Canis lupus familiaris: one gene and its partners. The protein of the gene in region 2 purifies or fractionates together with the protein of the main gene of each other region. This does not show direct contact. Links are inferred from orthologs where the notes say so. Each region holds a gene or a part of one and is shown on either strand. Other genes may lie near its edges. The genes, in order: AP3B2, AP3M1, RABL6 and AP3S2.

Region 1 (5,971 bases), on a different chromosome or scaffold from region 2:
ACAGCCTATAAAGCAACAGAAAGGAAAATATTTGGGATATGGCAAACAAAAATTTAATATTCAAAATAAAGCATTAAGGCGCCTGGTTGCTCAACGGTTCAGCATCTGTTCAGGTTGTGATTCTGGGGTCCTGGGATTGAGTCCTGAATCGGGCTCCCTGAATGTCGCCTGCTTCTCCCTCTGCCTATGTCGCTGCCTCTCTCTGTCTCTCATGAATAAATACATAAAATCTTAAACAAACAAACAAAAACAAAATAAAGCACCAATATAGATTTAAGGTCTATATCCAGCTTTCATTGTAAGGGCTGCTGCAAGCATATCCACACCTGTTAGTCCCTCCAAGGAGACATAGCCCTGAGCTATCGCTCTCCTTTCAAAGAGTGGAGCATAGTCTGGTAGTCCTCAGTCATGTGCCCTTGTGCAGTGAACAACCTGCCTGACCATACTCAGAGGTCTAGGGGTAGGTGGTCAAAGAAGTGAACCTGTGAATAGACTCATGGAAAAAATGCTTCTATACAGCCAAGACAGCTGTGGGACAACTGATGTGCTCATGTGTTGCCAAAACGGTTCCAAGATGTGGTGATCAGTGTGTGCAGAGTCCTGCACAATTCTCTCATCTTCCAGATAATAAGCCACAGCTTTTGAGCCAGGCAGGAGAACCCAGCCTAGAAAGGTTATCACTAACAGTAGAAATTAAAAAGCAATGACAACCCATAAAAAAAAAAAAAAAAAAAGCAATGACATATTTAGAGACAGCAGAATGTCAGAAATTGAAGCGAATAGCGACAGCAGGGATGAGCAGGACAACAGTCACAGACAGGCCAGGGTGGCGGTGCTGCCGGTGCTGAGAGGCAAGTCAGCGACAAAGGCCGAGAGGAAGGGAAGAAGCCAACGTGATGCATGGGCTGCCTTCTGCACAGATGCCCAAGTGCCTAACGCACACTCAGAAGGGACAGAAGCAGAGCTAAGCTATGGATGATCCAAGGGTTTTAGAAAGGGTCTTTCCTGAACAGATTTTTTGGTGGAAAGCAGGATAGAAAGCTAATGTCTTCCAGGACACAGAAGACCTGCTAGTCATCACAGAAGGCAGAAGAATGTCCAGCCCCAGCCATGCTCATCTAAACGCCCCCAGATCAGAGGATCTTCTCACTCTCCCAAACACAGGCCAGGTGGTCCACTCCTGCAGGCTGAGCTCAAGCCCACGGGGTACAGGAGGCCCAGACGGTGCAGCTGAGCATGGGCACCATTAGGGCTGTGGGAGGATAAACGCTGGGCACCCCGGTCCCCGAGTATGAGTGCAGGCCGCTGAACTGCCACATTCCACCATATGGACAGCTCACAGCACACATCCCACAAATACCCACACATCCCAATACCCCCTCCACGCTCCAGCACCATCCACACGTACCACAGGCACACCTGCACCCCACAGACACGCCTGTACCCCTCACAGACACATCTGTACCCCAGACATCCCCACATCCCCCCCACAGACACATCTGTACCCCAGACATACCCACACCCCCAGATATACCCACACCCCACAGACCACCTGGACCCCAGACATTCTCACACCCAGACACACCTCACACCTACACCCCTAGACATACCCATACCCCCACACCTCCACCCCATAGATATATCCACACATCCCCAGACACACCTGTACCCCCAGACACACACAATTCATACATAAACTCATACACACCCACGACCCTTGGAGAAACACACGATCACAGACACATACACCACACGTTCAGACACTTCCCACAGAAACTCTACACACATATACCCACATATGCATTAACACATACCTCACACCCACATCCCTAGACCCCCACAAACACACACATTCCCACAAGACTTCTCCATTCCCTCCCACACCCCCATCTGGATGTGCACATCCCACCCAATGCACCCCCACACCCAAGCCCCTCCACAACACACACCACGTACACATACACCCTCTCAACAAAACTGTCACTCTGGCCTCATTCCCCAGTGTCCAGTCAACTCCTATTTGAGATGCTGGAAGATGAATTTAGGCTTCTAGGATCAAACACAGGCAGCCTCATGGACCCTCCGGCCTCCTCCTGAGGGGTGGGCCTGGGTGACCTGACTGGGAGCAGCTGGAGTTTGCCTGGGTGTTCTCTAAAGCAGACTTCCTCACCCGGAGTGTCCTCACCACTCCTAGAAATGCCACAGGCCCCTGTCAAATGCACCACCCCTGGGGCCGTGCTGCAGCACCCATACTACTCCCACCCTCCCGGCCTGGTGCAAATACTCCAGGCCCTGGAGGCTCCAGCCGGCCAAGGAGAATTGAGGGAGGGGAGGGCCTGTGGGTACATGGCACAGGGAGCCAGGCAGGACTGTCAAATGCCCATGAGCAGACATCAGCCCCCTCCTGGGATGTGACCACCCCCGGGCCGTCATCTTGTGTGCCCGAGAGGGAGAGGGAGCGAGGGATGCACAGCAAGGCTCCGAAGCCATGAAACATTAGCCTCTGTGGTCAGATCCCCTTACACCGCACTCTCTCTGCCCTGACCCCTGGCCTGACCTGGCCGAGGAACTCTCCAGGGGGTGGCCAGAGCCACCCAGACACTGAGGCCAGACGTGCTCACCTCCTTGATATACACCTTCCTCCCTCTCCTCACCACCAAATCCCAATCCATTAGAAGTGGGGGTGGGGGTGGGCTGCCCAAACTCTGCATCTTAGCCTGTCTCCAAACCTCACCCAGAGCCCACTGCAGCCGGGACCTGGGAGGGGGAAGGTCCAGGTGGAACCATAACACTATCCCCCCCTGCCAGAGCTGCCCGAGTTATGTTCATCGCCTCATACACTCAGCCCCCACACTGCACCCCTGATGCCCCCACCCACCTAGACCTCCTCCTGGGGAGGTGGAGTTTGAGCTAGAGCAGCAGCTGTCCACCCTTCCTGGCATGGGGGTGAGGGGCCCTGGGAGTTCCTCTGTACCTTAGCGGCTGGCTCTGGCTCTGGCCAGGCTCCGGGCCAGGCCCTTCCAGGGACGCCTCCGGGATTGTGTCTTCCTCGGGGGCCTGCAGCCACCGGAGCTCCTCAGGCTGCAGGGCCTGGTACCAGGGTGGGGGCCCGCCTTCAGGGGCCAGCACAGGGCTGGCAGCCTCCTGGTCAGCTGCACCAGCCCCTCTGCCCCCTGGCCTCACCACAGCCCCCGGGAGCTGCAGGAATCGCTGCATGGGGCACCGGGTCCTGCTCTGAGATGAGACTGAGCCAACCAGGGAGCCAGGGACGCCTGTCCCTGTCCTAGACGGTCCGCCCCCGAAACTCAGAAACCAGACACTGGCAGGGAAGGAGGCTCTGGTTTCCTTTTCGTGGCTCAGAGATAGGACTCCAGATGGGGAGGACGGCAGGGACTGGGGAGTAAACCACCCCTATTTCTGGCCTGTGGGCCAGGGGAGCTGATCCAGACAGAGGTGAGGGATGCCCTCCTCACTCCCACTCTCCTGCCACATCTGGACCCCTGCCTCCCCAGAACTGCTCTTCCTCAGAAACCCTGTACACCCCCTTCCCACTCTGACCCGAACCCGGAGCCAGGTCCTTGATTCCTTCCTTCCTTCTCAGTATTCTCTGGTCTCTACTTCCTCCCCACCTGGCCCAGCCTCCCAGCCCGTCCCTCTAGCTGCTCTCTCTCTCATACCCAAGGCCCTCCCATCCTTGCTGCCCCTACCCTGCCAGGAGTAGTTGGCTTTATTTGCTGGATTTCAGACCTGCTCAATGTGCCTCAAATCCCCACCCACAGCCTTGCTCTCTGGCTCTGAGAGCTTCACCACCTGTTTCTCATGAAAATGAAAGGCCTCAGATAAAATCCCCTGCAGCTCCCAAACATCTGCGTCTCCTCTCCTGTTCTCCTCCCCGTGGGCAGTGATCCTCCTCAAAGGCAGCTCTGTAGGCTTCCCCTCCCACCACCCAGGGGTCCAGGCCTGCTTCAGTTCCCTTCAGCCTCTCCCACACAACTGGCTCCTTCCCATCAGCAGTTAGACTTGCTCCAGGCTCCCCATCCAGATAATAAGCAAAAGTAACAGCAAAAATAAAATAAACCTTCTTGAACTAATTATCTCCAGCTACTCTTTCTCTCTCTCTCTCTCTCTCTCTCTCTCTCCCCTTTACAAACTTCTGGAAACCAAATTTCCCATTCACTGTGTTTTATTTATTTATCTCTTATTTGCTCCTTTATTCACTTTAACCTGGTTTGAGACGCTGATAAGAATTTAGGGCTGAGGGGCACCTGGGTGGCTCAGCGGTTGGACATCTGCCTTGGGCTCAGGGCATGATCTGGGGTCCTGGGATGGAGTCCTGCATCGGGATCCCCACAGGGAGCCTGCCTCCCCCTCTGCCTATGTCTCTGCCTCTCTCTGTCTCTCATGAATAAATAAATAAAATCTTAAAAAAAAATAAAGCAGGGATGCCTGGGTGGCTCAGCGGTTGAGCATCTGCCTTTGGCTCAGAGCGTGATGGTGGGGTTGGGGACTGAGTCCCACATCGAGCTCTTTGCAGGGAGCCTGCTTCTCCCTCTGCCTATGTCTCTGCCTCTGTGTGTCTCAAATAAATAAATAAATAAATAAATAAATAAATAAATAAATAAATAAATAAAATATGTTTAAAAAATAAAAAATAAATAAAGCAAACATGGCACAATGTCAACAATGGTTGGATCTAGGTGGAGGGTATGTATGTATTCCTTGTATTATAAAATCAATTTTTCTGTATGTTTAACATTGTTCGTAATAGAATGTTGGGGAAAAATAACCCAGCTCCCCCTCTTCTGACTTCGCCAGACTTGTCCCACAGAACAGGAAGTGGGGAGCAGAACAGGGAGAGGTTGACCGACTCTTTGTCAAGCCAATGGTCGTGATTTCTTTCCCTTGTTTGGGTTGACATTATGGATTGCTGCCTCCTTGAAACCGCATGATGCCTTCAGTTTACTTTTTCTCAGTTACCTTGAAACACTCTTCCACTGCATTCTGGTCATCCCTAATGTCTGTGTCTTTAAAGTTCCTATCTGTGCACTGTCTGTACTCATTTTATATCCCTGGGTTACCTTCACTTCCTTCTGTGGCTTTAATATATATAATATAATATAATATAATATAATATAATATAATATAATATATTTATTTATATATATATTAAATATATTTATTTAAATATATATATGTTAAGAATCTGTCCTGGAATCCAAATCCTAAAATCTCCTAGCTCCTAGGCTTAAATACCCCCCAGAGTTTACAATCTCAGGCTCTCAAAAGCTGGGCTCCAAATTATTTTCACAAATTTGTTTGTAACATCTTTATTTCCAAACACACTGTAAGGCACTACCATCTATCCAGTTACAAGAAATAGTAATCTGAGTATTATACTTACCTTCTTCCCCCAGTTAATCAAGTCTGTGACTTCTACAGTCTCAAAAGCCCTCAAATCCTCTGCCCCTCCCACCATCATGTCCCCTCCCCCAACTTCCACACCACCCCTTGTTTCCTGCTCAAACTAGCACACCCCAATCTCTTCTGCATAATTCAGCCTAGAATCCTAAAATGCAAATCTGTATAACCTGCTCAGAACCCTCATTTCTGGTCACTCCAGAGGATTGCACAACGATTTGGGCCATATCCCACTAGCACCTACAAAGCCTGGCTCTCCATCTCCCCTCTCCCTACCAGTTCTTTGCTCTGCCTAGAACACCCTTCATGCTCCCCTGCCTCTGTTCTCCAGGCCAGGCACCAGCTCCTCGCATCCCTCCCTCTGACTGCTTCCACAGCATGGATTCTTCCTCTGTGCTCCCGTCTAGAGCCACTAGAGGACGAGGACTGAGAATGGTCCTGCATTCACAGTGACTAGGACAAGAATGGACATAGAACCCCCTTAAAATACTGGTTTCATGGGGCGCCTGGGTGGCTCAGTGGTTGAGCATCTGCCTTTGCCTCAGGTCGGGAA
Region 2 (5,454 bases):
TGCCTTGTGTTGGTGTCAGGTTCATATTCAGCACAACTTTGGGCATATGAACTGTTACTGTGATTCCTTCAATAGTTTTCCCCATATTCTGCTTTGGTCCAATTGTAATATCAAATCTACCGCAAGAACTGTTCTCCTTAAAGCTGATGCTATGTTTCACATACACCGGTATTGCCACTAGACTGAAAAGAAAAAGACAGATACAACCACAAACATAATTAATTGTGTGAGACAGCTCCTGAGGTAGCCTGAGAACCTCAGTCCAGAGTATTCCACTCCTTTGACTCTACCGAGGGCCATATATCCCCAGACCTGGAGGGTCAGCATTCACTAGTACTCACCAGAGAGTCTGAGCACCACCACACTAGGAATTACACAATTTCTGAGCAAGAAGTATCAAATCAAGACAGGATTCAAGATAGGATAAACAAGTGGCACAAATAGCCCTAGTTTGAAGAAATTAATTAAGGTCCCATAGAAAAGAGAATTTAAAATTAAACTAAATGAAATTGTCCCTATGTGGTAAGAGCCAAGAAATAACTCCTCTGCTTTTGAGTATTACTGATGCTACCCAAATGCCTTCTGATATTTTCAAGGGACAAACCATTTACAACCCACAATGCCAATTCATTCATTTAATCTTAGTACCCGAAAGAGTGACCGGAAGTCAGTTAATTGGGCGATTGCCTAGAGAATTAGAGATGTATCTGTCTCCCTCTGTCAGATATGAAGTCTACAGACCACAGTAAAATTATGGCATGGGTTCAAGGTTTTGTGTAGGTTGTGCACAGTCCAAAGTGTTTGTTCTCCGGTATATGTTTTACTAGTACTTTATATTCTCACATTCAAGGAACACTGATTATTTTAGATACATATTTCACCAGTTCTTCCTGAGTTTCCTAATGAGCCATGGCCAAAGAGAGCAGTGATGAATTCAAGTATCCACCTGTCAGAATGAAAAAGGTAAGGGGACTACCCATCACTCTGATACATGATAGCAGATTTCTAGTTGATGCATCAACGTACTTTTGTGAGCTGACACGATACGATATGAGTCGGAAATTTCCATCTGGAGGAATAAATGACAAAACTCTTTCAGATTCCCAGCGCTTGAACCGGATGCAGGGGTGGAAGCTGACATCGTCGAGAAGCCGTGGGTTCTGCCAGGAAAACAAGACGGCAGTATTCACAGAGTGTGCGGAATAGGGCAAGTCTGCTAGGATACTATGAGAAATTAATGTACTCCCTAAGGATAAAAGTTACATTACGAGTTTGTTACTATGACCACAATAACACACAGTTAACAGTTTCACAAGGCTTTGAGATTTCAAATATATTTTGTAAAGCAGGGGAGGGGGCAGAGGGAGAGGGAGAGACAATCTTCAAGCAGATTCTCCACTGAGTGTGGAGCCAGACACAGATCTCGAACCTCACAACCCTGAGCTGAAATCAAGAGCCGGCTACTTAACCATCTGAGCCACCCAGGTGGCCGCAAATATTTCATATGTTATTTTAGTTGAATTTCAATTACTATTAAGTAGAAAATGTGAGCCGTACTATCATTTCCATTTCACAGATGACAAAAATGAAGTTGGAAGAACTCAAGGTCAAAACGAGATAGCAACAGAACTTTGTTCTCTTTTCTTAGTAGTGTATCATGCCAAATCTAAAATGATGCAAAAGATCAATGCCCTTTCTTATCAGTAAAGCAAATAATAATTCAGTGAGACTACAGATTTGCAGAAGCCATCCAGCCATTTAAGCCACTTCTAACATAGCCAGGAGAAGACTTCTCCTCAGCCTTTCCATAAAGGCCATGCTCATTATGTAAGCCACTGTCTTGGGAAGCTGTGCTAAGAATATTTCTGAGATAGGGGTACCTGGGTGGTTTAGTTAAACAGCAGGCTCTTGATTTTGGCTTAAGTCATGATCTCAGGGTTGGGAGAACAAACCCCATGTCAGGCTCCCCGCTCAGCGTGGAGTCTGCTTAAGATTCTCTCTTTCTCTCTCTCTGCCCCTCCCCCTGCTCATGCTCTCTCTAAATAAGTAAATAAATCTTAGAATATTTCTGAGATAATACTTACAATCTAAGATACAAACATCTCTCAGTATTTATCATTTCTTTCAGTACTTCATATATATTAGGCATACAAAGATCTACAGGACAGGAGAACAAAACTTACCATGAAAGAAAGAGAAAGGTCAGGCATTCCAGATAGCTTAATGCAAGCATCAATGACCCCCTGAATTTCTGCAAACACTGTAGATCCTGAAGAAAGGAAGTGATAACATCACTGGAATTGGAGTCTAGTAAAGACTAGAGCGATCACTGTCTCTGAAATAATGGAGACATCACCTCGGTGTCAGACATAATGAAACTTGCACATCTACTAACAAGTTAGTGGGACAGAGGATCCATTGCACCAGTTATGACAGTTTCTTCACTAAACGCCCACACCTAACTGGTAGGACTGGGGTAATTCTACGGAATATCAAACCTGCCTCTGTCTTGACATAGTCAACCTTGTAAGACTGCTGGATATGAAATTAAAATGTTTTTGGGGTGCCTAGGTGGCTCGGTCTGTTAAGCAGCCAGCGCCTAATTTCTGCTCAGGTCATGATCTTAAAGTCCTGAGATGCAGCCCCACCTTGGGCTTCCTGTTGGGCATGGAGCCTGCTTAAGATTCTCTCTCCCCTTCCGCCTCTGTCCCTCCCCATCAACTCTTTCCCTTTTAGAAAAAAAAAGTGTTTGAAGTTAAAATATTTTTAATGGAATTTAAAAATGAGGCAAATTTCTCATTGAAATGGACTAAGCTGTTAACTTTGAATAGGAGCCATTATTCTGTAATAATGTAGCTATTATTCTGTATGATAGAATTTTTATAATGAAAAGGGCACTGATTGAAGAAAAAATACTGGCTATAATTCACAATAACTCATTTTCACACAGCAACTAGCTGTGTGACCTTGAGCAGATTACTAAACCCTTTTGAGCCTCAGTTTCCTTATGTATAAAATGTGAAGGTTGGACTAGATGTTTTTAGTAAAATTTATGGTTCTAATAGAGTACAGCTGTTTTGTCTGGGGTCTTCAGAAGTACTGTATGTAAAGTGGTAGCAAAAGTATGGTGCATGGTAGATAATACAATAAATGTTGAATAAATGGCAAGAGGGAGAGGCAGACAGGGTAATAACTGGCTTAAAGTAAGGCAGCATGAGATCTGATTTACAAAGGTTTGGCAGATCTCAGCTAGTGGTTATGAAAATTATATGTAGCCTCTGGGCAAAATAAACAGATTTTAAGCTATCAGGAAGTGAATGCCTTTCTGCTGAAACCATACTACCAAGAGATTTCAATTTTGTCAGCTCAACTGTTTTTCCCAAATAAGATCACATGCACACAATTACCTGATTTATCTATAATTGCATCTATTTCTTCAACGACATCAAAATAGGCTTCATTATTTGTGTACTTTACCCCTGCCCGCCGCCATGGGATGTTGGACAGCTGCCCAGTGGGGAGTGTGTCCCCAACATTACTACTGCCTAGAAACCGGAAAAGGAGAAAGCAAAGGTAATGCATAAAATAGTCATCAGGAAAGCTATTAACAAGGGTGATAGGCTGGCTCAGTTGGTAGAATGTGCGACTCTTGACCTTGGGGTCGTGAGTTCAAGCCCCACACTGGTGTATAGTTTATTTTAAAAACAAAAAAAGAAAGAAAAACTATTAACAGGAAAAAAAAAAAGAATGCTTTAGTTGCTTCTTTAATGTTTACGTTTTCTTCATCGAAGTTGTGGATGGTTTCCAGAATTGCTGGAATTGCTATACCGACATGATCAAATTTCTAGGGGACAGAAATAGGCCATGTGGTCCTCTATGTGCCAAACCAGGTTAAATTCATTTACCTATCTTTTGCTTCCTGTGTGTTAACAGTAACCTAACCTAATTCTAGTGGCTCAACAACAGAATCTCGTCCTGCTGCCAGTGATGAAGAAAAGAGGCTAGTTGTTGTAGAACCTTCTGCCGATAAAATGTTTCCACTGAGAATAAGTGATAAGTAGGCCCTTTGGTATTCAGCTTAAATTCTACATGAGATGCTGCCAAGCAGGCCTCAGCAGAGTAACAGGATGAAGAACACACTCTGGCCTTTTCCCATTTTAAGGTCAGCACAACCATATGGCTGTAATATGGCTAAGGTTTAATATAGGGCTAATTTACTGGTAAATTGACATATGTCTGAAAGTAAGTCTGATTGTCCAAAACACACCCTTGAGCTGTGACATATTTAACATTTTGGTTAATTTACATTTCCAATTCAAAAGTAGTATATGCTTAGTAACAACAACACATGGAAAGCTCAGAAAAGTGGCTAAAAAGGATCTATCTTTCTGTTACCAAAATACAACTACCATTAACAGTTTGGTATAATTCTTTAAACATTTCCCTCATAAATAGGCTGCATTTATTTTTTTCTATTTTGGTAAGTTTGTTATTTTTGACTGCACCTTAAAATATAGTTGCAATCATACTGTATATACAATATACTGTATATATATAATTAGATTTTACAGTCTAATTATGATTGGTGTTTGTGTCTCATTACTCAGTAAAAAAACAGCTCTGCTCCTGTTAAATAATTAATATAATTCTAGGTTTTTCATGTTGTGTGTTTTTTTTCTCATATAGTTCCATCTACAGAATGCTCTTATTCCTCCCTCTTTCCCTAAATTCTGCTGATTCTTTAGGGCCCTGCATTGGGGCCAAGCACCACAGTTCAGGAGGGATTATTTCATCTACTGAACCATTCTCTTGAATGCACTGCCTTAATAACCTATGTATTTTCATTCTCTATTTTAGTAACTATAAAATACATGTTTATTTTAGAAATTAGAAAGTATTAAGCAAAAATAAAGATAGTATGTTGTTCCTTAGTTGGAGACGGTCATTGAAAATATTTTAGAACTTTTTTGTCTGTAGGAATGTTTGTGTAATTAACAGAAACTTTTATAGTTTTATGTTGGTATTTTTTCCATTTAGTATTATATCATGTGTACTTTCCAATGTCACTGTATTGTTTATAAAGTATGGAGTTGCCTTTTACAATGTTATATTATTATTTACATACTTTAATTTTTTTCTAATCTCCCATCCAGAGTCTAAGTTTTAGGTGCATACATTCTATCTTATCTTTCCTTGAATTTCTCCTAATGCTCAGCTTTGTACAGAAGATGAATAAAGGCCTCTTATAGGCCTCTCTTGTCCCATTTTTTTAGGTCAGTACACTTAGAGCGGGGTTTACAATGGTAGACAGCAGAGCTGGTGTGTTATGTAACATTTCACAGAAATCTTTCTCTAGAAGACTTCAACACTCTCAAAAAATACTGTCATCTGGATGTACCTAATTTCTAGCTATATTCAAGAAATAAAAATTACAAACTTATAACATGGAGCACC
Region 3 (4,362 bases), on a different chromosome or scaffold from region 2:
TGGAAGGAAACAAAGGCCCCACAGACCGAGTGGTTGGTGGCGAGTTCCATCAGAGGGAGGTTGGTACGGGCATACTTCTCAGCGGTGCCAGCTGCCCGTGCACCCTGCTTTCCCTCAGGTCCCCGGGTGTTGTGTGCATCCCTCTTAGACCTGTGTAGCTTCTTACCCAAGTACAACAAGCACACCAATCCCAAGGGGAACACCCCAGGTTTCCTGTACCTGGCAGTCCGCACCAGCCATGCTGGAGGAAGCAGCAGAATGTTCTGTGGGTCATGGCTGTGGCTGCTGCACCTGTATGGGCCCAGTTCCTGCCCCGGAGGTGGTGTGTGCTCCCCTCAGCATGCTGAAGGATGCAGCAGGGAGCCTCGTGTTTAGCATGTCAGAGCTGCCTCCCCTTCTGGGGGCACCACGTGTGGAGGGGCACAGTCATTCTAGGTATTGCTCACGTCACCGACCCTTAGAGCCACACTGAGCTGCTTGGGTGGCACGCTAGCCCTCTGGCCAAGGCCAGGTGGCCTCCCTGTACCCTGATGCTCAGCTGCTGTGAACCCCTCAAGGGCTGGCCAAGTGAGGACACAGGGCTGAAGGGGTCTGTGCTTCCTCCTCTAGAGGGAGACGCTGCTCCGGCAGCTGGAGACGAACCAGCTGGACGTGGACGCCACACTGGAGGAGCTGTCAGTACAGCAGGAGACAGAGGACCAGAACTATGACATGTATGTCAGCCCAGGGGCGGCCCTTGGAGGTCAGCCCTACAGGCCATCTCTGTGGGAGGCGGCCTCACTTCAGAGGCCTCTGAGCTGGGGGCTCTGCCCAGCAGACAGCAATGAGGAGTGCCCCCACCTGGGCAGAGCGGACAGCTCACAGGGTGGGGGGGGTGTTAGTGTGCTGCTCCAAAACCCACAGCATTTCAGCGTAGATGCGGGCAGGGAGAACCCAGGCTGCTCCAGGCGGGGGGTAAAAGTGGCCCTCACGGTGAGGTCACCCTTGCGGCCTATTCTGTTCTCTGCACCAGGGTGCTTTACCCTCAACACTCAGGAAAGTAAGTGCTTGTCCGGAATAAGCAGCTTGAATTTTCAGTGGTGCCCATTTCACCTAGGGAAGCAGGCACTCCCTGCAGCTGGGCCTTCTTTAGCTGGCCTGACCAGCACCCAGGGGGCCCCAGCCTGATGGGCACGACTGGGGCCCGGCTGACCCAGGCCAAGGGTCCATCTCGGGCCCTGCTGACACTGGCTCCCAGGCCTTTGCGTTTGGGCTCCCAGCTTGCTGCCATTGTACAGTGGGTCTTCAGAGAGCTACTTAACCTTGGGAGGGTCTGCTGGACGGGCTAGGGATGGAGCCTTCCAGGTGGGTGGTGGGCAGGCCTGGGCACTGCCTGCTCAGGGTCCCAGGGGCACCGAGAGTTGGGGGCCCTGTCTGCCCTCCACAGCTCCCGGGGAGGTACTCTCCCTTTCAGGAAGGTGGAGGCCAAACTACCCGTAAGGGCAAGTTCATCTTAGATTTTATTTGGTTCCCATAGAGAGCACCTAAATGTCAGAGATCTGGGGCGGGGGGTAGGCTGGGGTGGGGCTGCCAACCCCCACAGGTCTGTCCCCAGAGGGACTTGCAGAGGGCCTTTGGGTCTCCTTGGAGCCAGGTTCATTTGTTGGTTCTGGAACTAGTAGTTGGTTCTGGGGGAGTGAGTTTTCCTGCATGTAGGCTGCTTGGCTGGTGAGCACCACCCTTGCTGTGGAACCCATCCTGGGAATGCCCAGCTTCTATAAGCTTGGGTACGTGGCACTGGCTGGCATGTTGCCCCCTAGGGAGATGGCCCCTGGAGCCTCCTCTCCATACGTGCCCCACAGCCAGCCCTGGGACCAGGCTGCAAGATGAAGGCAGCACTGCTGGGCAGGGGGCTTGGGGCCCTCTCCACAGCAGGTCCCATGTGTGCTGATGGATGAGGAGCTGCCAAGCCTGCCCATCAGCATTCACTAGCCCCTTCCTTCCGGGACACCCGGCTTGATGTGATAGAGCCCATGAGGTGTGAGGTTGAGGAGCTTGGGGACCAGGACACTGCTGTCACCCTGCTCTCAGAGAGGAGACCAAGGGGAAGGTGGCTGCTCACTGCCTGCTCTGTTTCCCCCAGCTTCCTTGAGATGATGGAGGCACGCAGCCGTGGCCATGCGTCCCCACTGGCAGCCAACGGGCAGAGCCCATCCTCAGGCTCCCAGTCTCCGGTAGTGCCTCCCAGCGCTGTGTCCACAGGGAGCTCCAGCCCCAGCACACCCCAGCCAGCCCCACAGATGCCCCTCCACACGCCCTCAGCCTGCCCCTGTCCCCTGCCCCCCACGGAGGCCCCACTGCCCCCTGCAGCCCCTGCCCCACGGCGCAGCATCATCTCCAGGCTGTTTGGGACCTCACCAGCTGCTGAGGCAGCCCCTTCAGCCCCAGGTGAGCCCTGGAGTGTGAGTGGCCCACGGCGGGAGCGCCTGGTCTCTTCTGGCCCTGGGAGCTTGCAGACTGGGCTGGGATCCTCCTCCCTCCTGGCAGGCAACCCCACAGCCCAGTCACCTGGGTACAGCCTGTGTTGAGCCTGGCAGGAGTGGGCACTGGACACATGGGAAGTGGCTTCTGCTGTCCACAGAGCCAGCCTCAGTCCCAGAGGCCCCAGTGAAAGTCCAGAACGTGGAGGATTTTGTTCCTGAAGAAGGCCTTGACCGCAGCTTCCTGGATGACACTGGCCCCCAGCAGAATGAGAAGAGAGTCGGAGCTAAGGTCCCACAGGACAGTGACAGGTAAGGGCAGAGGCCAGGTGGGCCATGGGTGAGCCAAGGGGACAGAGGGAAGGACTCCCTGAAGGCCTGCACCCCAGGAAGAAGCCTGCATGGACCAGGGATTGGGCCAGGCAAGACACAGGGACCAGCATTCAGGCCTGGCCTCCCACCCCTGCTGCTCCCTCATCACCGGTTCCTGGGTATCTGCGGTGCATACCTCCCTGCACTACACCCAGGGGACACCTGCTGGTCTCCAGCATCCCCATGTCCCTCCAGAAATGCAAAGTAGCAGAACAGGGCCAGCGCCAGGCTGCTCTCCCACCCCCAGACAGCTGAGCCCATCCCTGCCCTGCACCCCACCCGGGGGCACAAGGGCACCCACTTCACACACTCTGCTGCGTGGCAGCATCTCCATCCATCTCCTTGGCCCCACCTCACCCCCCACAGTCTGTGCCATGTCTGCCATACCAGCGGGTTCCCTTCTCAGAGGGCCCCCAAAACCTATACTGGTCCTGGACAGGTCCCCCTTGCTGTCTGTTCTCCCACACATGCTGAGTGCCAAGGATAGAGCAGCCCTGCAGCCAGTGCCCATGGGTGCCCCAGGTCTGGGGCTCAGGGTGGGGAGGGGGCTCTCTGCGCCCCCCTGTGACCTCTGACCCCCTGCCTCTCTTTTGCAGCGATGAGGAGGTCCCAGGCGGGAACCCACTGGTAGCAGGTTTCCAGGATGATGTGGACATTGAAGATAAGCCACCTAGCAGGCCCCTGCTGCCCGTGGGCCCCATCACCAAGGAAAACATCACTTCTTCCAGTGAGGAGGAAGCAGAGAAGGTGGCAGGGCACCCCAAGGCCACTGTCCCCATCCCCCAGAAGTGCTCTGAGCCAGAGACCAAACGGTATGTGTATGGGATCCACCCTGGGGGTGGTGGCAGCCAAGGGCACCCTGACTTCTCCTTTGTCCCAAAGGCCCTCCACAAAAGCTGCCAGGCTGCACAGGGGTATGGCTCCCAGGGCTGCAGAGTCCCGCCAGCCAAGCACCCGCAAATCCCCCGCTGAAGGCCCCTCTGGAGGCCGTGAAGAGGGCAAGAAGGAACAGGCAGCGTCATCAGAGAGTGACCCCGAGGGGCCCATTGCCGCCCAGATGCTGTCCTTTGTCATGGATGACCCTGACTTCGAGAGCGACTCAGACCCTCAGCGGAGAGCGGTGAGGAGGGTCTGGGGCCCACTCCAGTGACTGCACAGCACAGGGGCTGCCATGTCCTGGCTGCCACATCGGACCCTGCTGGCCACCCGGACCCCAGGCTTATCACCTGCCTGAGAGATGCAGGAGCCATCCTGCAGGGTCCCATGACAGGGCGCCAGCCACCCAACCTGCCCACTCTTCTGCAGGACGAGTTCCCGGTGCGAGAGGACCTCTCAGAGGAAACTGATGAGGATGCTGCTCCTGCCCAGCCCCCCCCACTCCCCAAGCCCCCTGTGGCCTCCTTCAGACTGAAGAATGACTCGGACCTCTTTGGGTTGGGACTGGCAGAAACCAGCCACAAGGATATCAGCGATGAAGGTACTTTGGGGGCCTGGGTGGGCTGGGGGCACCTGGCTGAGTGCATCAGGACCA
Region 4 (5,454 bases), on a different chromosome or scaffold from region 2:
TCTCAGTATCTCTAATAAATAAATAAAAAATATTAAAAATAAAAAAAGAAAAGAAAAGAAAAGAAAGCTTTTTAGGGATGTCTGGGTGGCTCAGAGGTTGGGCATCTGCCTTTGGCTAGGGCATGATCCCAGTTTGAGGGTCGGGTCCCACATTGGGGTCCCCGTGAGGAGCCTGCTTCTCCCTCTGCCTGTGTTTCTGCCTCTCTGTGTCTTTCATGAATAAATAAAATATTTTTTAAAATCTTTTTAAATCATCTTAGAGATACTCTTTTTTAGATAATTTGTACTGTTATATACTGTATGCGAATATAAGCATGATTTTAAATTAATCATCTTAAAATGATTTTCTGAATGTAAAATTTATATTTTTGTAGCTAGTTTTCTATAATTGTTAATTAGATTTTAATGCAAGCTTCTATTTCAGTGCTTTCTACTTAAGAAACTTAAGTCACTTAAAGGAAGCCTGCCTAAAATTTCATGTATAAAATGATGGAATAGGGGCACCTGGCTGACTTACTGATACAGTATGTGACTCTTGCTCTCAGGGTTCTGAGTTTGAGCCCTACACTGGATGCAGAAATTACTTAAAAAAAAAAAAAAAAAAAAAATTCCAGGAGCACCTGGTTGCCTCAGTCAGGTTAAGTGTCTGCCTTGGGCTTGAGTCATGATCCTAGGTTCCTAGGATCTAGCCCTGCATCAGACTCCCTGCTTGGTGGGGTGTCTGCTTCTCTCTCTGCCTCTCCCCCTGCTGATGCTTGCTTTCTCTCTCCATCTCTCGCAAATAAATTAATAAACAAACATGTAAATAAATAAAATCTTTTAAAAAATCTGTAAGCCATTTTCAAAAATCCTAAAGAAATCATGTTTACCTATGTCAAGATTGCACAGACTAACTAAAACATCAAGTCTCTTTGTCTTAGGCTAGAATTACAAGTGAAAATAAAAAGTATGAATTCTTAAATGTCAATCGGTTTGACAGTTGAAAAAAATTTCAAAAGATGATATGATACTATAATTTATAATAAGAAAATATTTGGGGGCAGCCCGGGTGGCTCAGCGGTTTAGTGCTGCCATCAACCCAGGGCCTGATCCTGGAGACCCAAGATCGAGTCCCATGTCAGGCTCCCTATACGGAGCCGGCTTCTCCCTCTGCCTGTGTCTCTCTCTCTGTGTCTCTCTCTCTGTGTCACTCATGAATAAATAAATAAAATCTTTAAAAAAAAAAAAAAAGAAAAGAAAATATTTGGTATTCATCTCTGTTTCTGGCATAGAGCTCTTAAATGATAAAGATGTCCTGTTTATGTTAATAAGATGATTTTTAGAAAGCACCTAACAATGGAGGCTGGTAGTCAGAGAACCAACCATACAATTAGAGGATTGGAACTTTCAGTCCCACCCTCAATCTCCAGAGAAATCCAACAGGACATTGTTTTGAGAGCTTCCGGGTTGGTGGACTTTGGAGAGTGGCCTGACTGGAAAGGGCATGTCCTTTCCTCACTTCCCCATTCTTTGCCCTGTAAATCTCTTCCATCTGGCTATTCCTGAGTTATATCCTTTTATAGTAAGCTGGTAATCTAGTAAGCAACATGTTCCTCTCAAGAGTTCTATGAGCCACTCTAGCAAATCAAACCCAAGGAGGAAGTCATGGGAACCTCCCTGATCTATAGCCAGTCAGAAGCACAGGTGATACCACCCTGGAGTTGTGATTGGTATCTATCTCCAGGTAGATAGTGTCAGAATTGAGTTAAATTTGTGGGACACCTAGTCACTGCCCACAGAGAACTGAGTTAACTGCTAGGTGGTGGTGGAGGGGGAAGCACACACATTGGAATTGGTGTCAGAATTGTACATGAAAACCAAAGGCAGTGAGAGGGCTCAGTAGAAACCAATGAGTCCAAAAGCTCTAGTTTTTAAGGGTTGCTAGGAGCTTTCTTACAGCACCATATGGTGGACATCTGGCAATTCTTACCAGCATCAATAAAGAGACTGACAAAAAGATCTACAGGATGGTTACTCAAAAATCCAGTGCAAATTCTCATTAGTGGCTGCCATCATTAGCTGACTACACATACCTGGATGAGGTCCAAGATTCCAAGTTCACTCTCTGATGAATCCACACAAAACACAAAGTAGAGTGTAGCATAGTGCCGATAAATCAATTTGTAGTCAGAGCCACCAATCAAACTGTGGAAGATGGGAAATGTTTAAATGGCTGTATCTTAAATGTATCGAAGAAAACTCCATGCCAAAGAATGAGAATAGGCGCAACAGAAAGGGGAAGACAGGCAAACAACAGGCCATTTCTACCAGGGGAACAGCAACCAGGTTTGGCAGAGGTACCTAAAACCACTTTACCTCACTTTTTCTTCTACCATCTTCCCGGAAACCAAACATCTAAATGAGTAACATCTGAAGCACAATCATTCAACAGCTTCCCAAACAGAACTGGGTCTCTTCCTGGGCAGCTCAGGTACCCACCTGACACTTGAGTACCACTTGAAGAGGCAACAGTGATGAAGAACACCCAACAGTAGATACACGGATAGAAAACTGAAGCCCATTATTTACCTTCCACCTTCCAAGAAGTTACAAATGTTGTCATCTCGCTTGAGAACTAGATGGAAGGTCTCTCGAACAATCTGTTGTTGAATTTCTTCTGGCTATGGAATAAAAGAAAGTGAATCAGTGGGGATGTCTGAAAAACTACATTCCATGGATGAACAGGGAGAGAAGTGCTTCTAAGCAGGAACGATCTAAAGATTTGGTACCAGTTTCCAGAAAAAATAAAAGGGGAATCTATGGAAAATGGTAAGACTCAGTTACAGGAATTAAGCTAGGGCACATTTATCTGGACATCAAGTCACTAACCATTACTGTCCTGAGAGGTAAAGCGACACTTCCTTATGGTTAATAACCAAGGAAAGGAGCAGGGTGCCTGAGTAGCTCAATTGGTTCAGCATCCGACTGGGTTTCGGCTCAGGTCATGATCTCAGGGTTGTGAGATGGAGTACCACCTCAGTCTCCATGCTTAGCGAAGAGTCTGCTTGAGATTCTCTCTCCCCTTCTCCCTCAGTCCCTCCTCCCACTCATACTCTCTTTCTAAAATAAATAAAATCTTAAAAAAAAAAAAAAAAAGAAACAAGGGAAGGAGAACTAATAAACTCTCATAAAAGACCAAAGAATAACTAGAAGATCCAGTCCTGGAGTATTTTGCCTTCCCCTAGAATATATCTACACCAGGGCAAATAACAAATGTCAATAGGTCTAACCTTTCAGGGAGGTCAAGATTTAATTGTGTAACCATGTTTTTAAAACCTGAATTTTCCATCTTTTGTACTGGTAAAATATGGTATTACATATAAGATGGGGTATTTACTCACCAACAAAGTATTATTGACAGAAAAAAATTCTATTTACAGATTAGAATTTTAAGTTATACTTTTCTTCACTACCATACACAAGAAAGCTCAACTGTAATGATACCTCTTGATAACTCATACTGATTTCTGTCTATACAGAGGAGGTTCATAGTAAATATGGTTTAAAAAAAAAAAAAAAAGGACGATGGGGGGGCACCTGGGTGGCTCAGTCACCCAACTCTTGTTTTCAGCTCAAGTTACGATCTCAGAGTCGTGAGATTGGGCCCTGCCATGGGTTGTGCACTCAGAAGGGAATCTGCTTGAGATTCTCTCTCTGCCCCTCCCCCTGCTCTCTCTCAAATAAATAAATAAATCTTAAAAAAAATAAAAGGATGATGGAAGAAATACACTGATCATTAAGACAAAAGCAATTAAAAGCTCTAGACCAATGCCCTTACATTTCAATATGCAACGAATCACCTGGGAATGTTATTAAAATATAGGTTCTGATTTAGTAGGTTTGGGGTATATTCTAAGATTGCATTTCTTTTTATTTTTTTTATTTTTTCTATTTTATGATAGTCACAAAGAGAGAGAGAGAGACAGAGGCAGAGACATAGGCAGAGGGAGAAGCAGGCTCCATGCACCAGGAGCCCGACGTGGGATTCGATCCGGGGTCTCCAGGATCGCGCCCTGGGCCAAAGGCAGGCGCTAAACCGCTGCGCCACCCAGGGATCCCTAAGATTGCATTTCTAACAAGCGTCCAGGTAATACCAATGCTGGTACCAATGCTGCTGGTCTGGGTATACATTTTGAGTACCAAAGCTTAAGAAAACCTTCAGATTGGACTTGCCCTAAGAGTCAGAAAATAGACTCAAGTAATGTTAATCCCTTCTTTCTAAAGCATTGAATTTAAGTTTGAATTTAAGCACTGCCTTAAGTTTGAAAGGTTATTTAATAGACTGAAAAAAAAAAAAACCAGGGAAAATGTCATTGTGGAGAAATTACATTTCATAATTTTGACTTAACATGGATAAACAATGGCTCAGTATTTACTGAATGAATGAAAACCTGCTAATCACTATTCGCTTTAAGTTTGAGTCAATCAGTCACTGTTTTCCGGGTTTCCATTTAAAGTCACAAAGCTAACTGACGCCAGGATACTGTAAAGGATTAACTCTGTGTACTTGGAAGTACAAAACATGCTAAAATATCAGCACTTTTTTTAACCTGACAAAAACATCTTTCAAACTAAAGCCATTTATCTGACCCTAGGAGGAGGTTGCAGCAGAGAAGTGCTATGAAATGGTGAAGCTAACTAATTTCTAATTTCAACAGAAAAGTGAACTAACACTTGCTTAGATATCTCAAAGACTTTTAACAACCCCTTATATCTCTTAGTTCTCTGCAATTTTCAAGGTAACTTTCACTTACAAGCTAATGTGGTTCTTATAAAAATCCTATGTCCTCCAAAGAAAGTTTACCAATGGCCAATAAGGACATGCAGAGTTGCTCAACATCATTAGTCATTAGGGAAACAAATTAAAACCATAATGAGAATCCACTTTATACCCATTAAAGTGTTTCTTATCAGAAAGATAGTAACAAATGTTGATAGGGAAGTGGAGAAATTGGAACTCCTATACATTGCTGAAGGGTACATAAATCAGTACAGCCACTTTGGAAAAACAGTTGGACAATTTCTCAAAATGTTCACCAGAGTTACTATACGACCCAGCAATTTTAGTGCTAGGTTTATAACCTAGAAAAATGAAAACAGGGGATCTCTGGGTGGCTCAGTGGTTTAGTGCTTGCCTTTGGCCCAGGGTGTGATCCTGGAGACCAGGGATCAAGTCCCACATCAGGCTCCCTGCATGGAGCCTGCTTCTCCCTCTCTCCCTCTCCCTCTCTCTCTCTCATGAATAAATAAATAAAATCTTAAAAAAAAAAAGAAAAATGAAAACATATGTGCACATAAAAACTTGTACATGAATGTTCACAGCAGCATCATTCACAAGAGCCATAGGTAGAAACATCAACTGATGGACATCAAAATGTGGTATATCCATACAACAGAATATAATTTGGCAATAAA

What was found.
Region 1: the proteins of AP3M1 (region 2) and AP3B2 purify together in Homo sapiens (co-immunoprecipitation; 3 studies listed by BioGRID and IntAct, counting the BioPlex papers as one, with this or other methods). This does not show direct contact. The link is inferred for Canis lupus familiaris from reciprocal best matches to the Homo sapiens genes AP3M1 and AP3B2.
Region 3: the proteins of AP3M1 (region 2) and RABL6 purify together in Homo sapiens (co-immunoprecipitation; 3 studies listed by BioGRID and IntAct, counting the BioPlex papers as one, with this or other methods). This does not show direct contact. The link is inferred for Canis lupus familiaris from reciprocal best matches to the Homo sapiens genes AP3M1 and RABL6.
Region 4: the proteins of AP3M1 (region 2) and AP3S2 purify together in Homo sapiens (co-immunoprecipitation; 3 studies listed by BioGRID and IntAct, counting the BioPlex papers as one, with this or other methods). This does not show direct contact. The link is inferred for Canis lupus familiaris from reciprocal best matches to the Homo sapiens genes AP3M1 and AP3S2.

What each region holds. Positions count from the first base shown.
Region 1 is NC_049224.1:55,027,377-55,033,347, forward strand, and holds the start of AP3B2 (AP-3 complex subunit beta-2), read right to left. Parts: upstream 3,557-5,971; 5' UTR 3,217-3,556; coding exon 2,975-3,216; intron 1-2,974.
Region 2 is NC_049225.1:25,257,448-25,262,901, forward strand, and holds part of AP3M1 (AP-3 complex subunit mu-1), read right to left. Parts: intron 3,546-5,454; coding exon 3,408-3,545; intron 2,270-3,407; coding exon 2,184-2,269; intron 1,161-2,183; coding exon 1,027-1,160; intron 183-1,026; coding exon 1-182. UniProt on the Homo sapiens protein: Part of the AP-3 complex, an adaptor-related complex which is not clathrin-associated. The complex is associated with the Golgi region as well as more peripheral structures.
Region 3 is NC_049230.1:48,747,006-48,751,367, reverse strand, and holds part of RABL6 (rab-like protein 6), read left to right. Parts: intron 1-609; coding exon 610-713; intron 714-2,122; coding exon 2,123-2,427; intron 2,428-2,620; coding exon 2,621-2,771; intron 2,772-3,427; coding exon 3,428-3,643; intron 3,644-3,713; coding exon 3,714-3,951; intron 3,952-4,136; coding exon 4,137-4,308; intron 4,309-4,362. UniProt on the Homo sapiens protein: May enhance cellular proliferation. May reduce growth inhibitory activity of CDKN2A.
Region 4 is NC_049224.1:53,345,723-53,351,176, forward strand, and holds part of AP3S2 (AP-3 complex subunit sigma-2), read right to left. Parts: intron 2,661-5,454; coding exon 2,569-2,660; intron 2,185-2,568; coding exon 2,073-2,184; intron 1-2,072. UniProt on the Homo sapiens protein: Part of the AP-3 complex, an adaptor-related complex which is not clathrin-associated. The complex is associated with the Golgi region as well as more peripheral structures.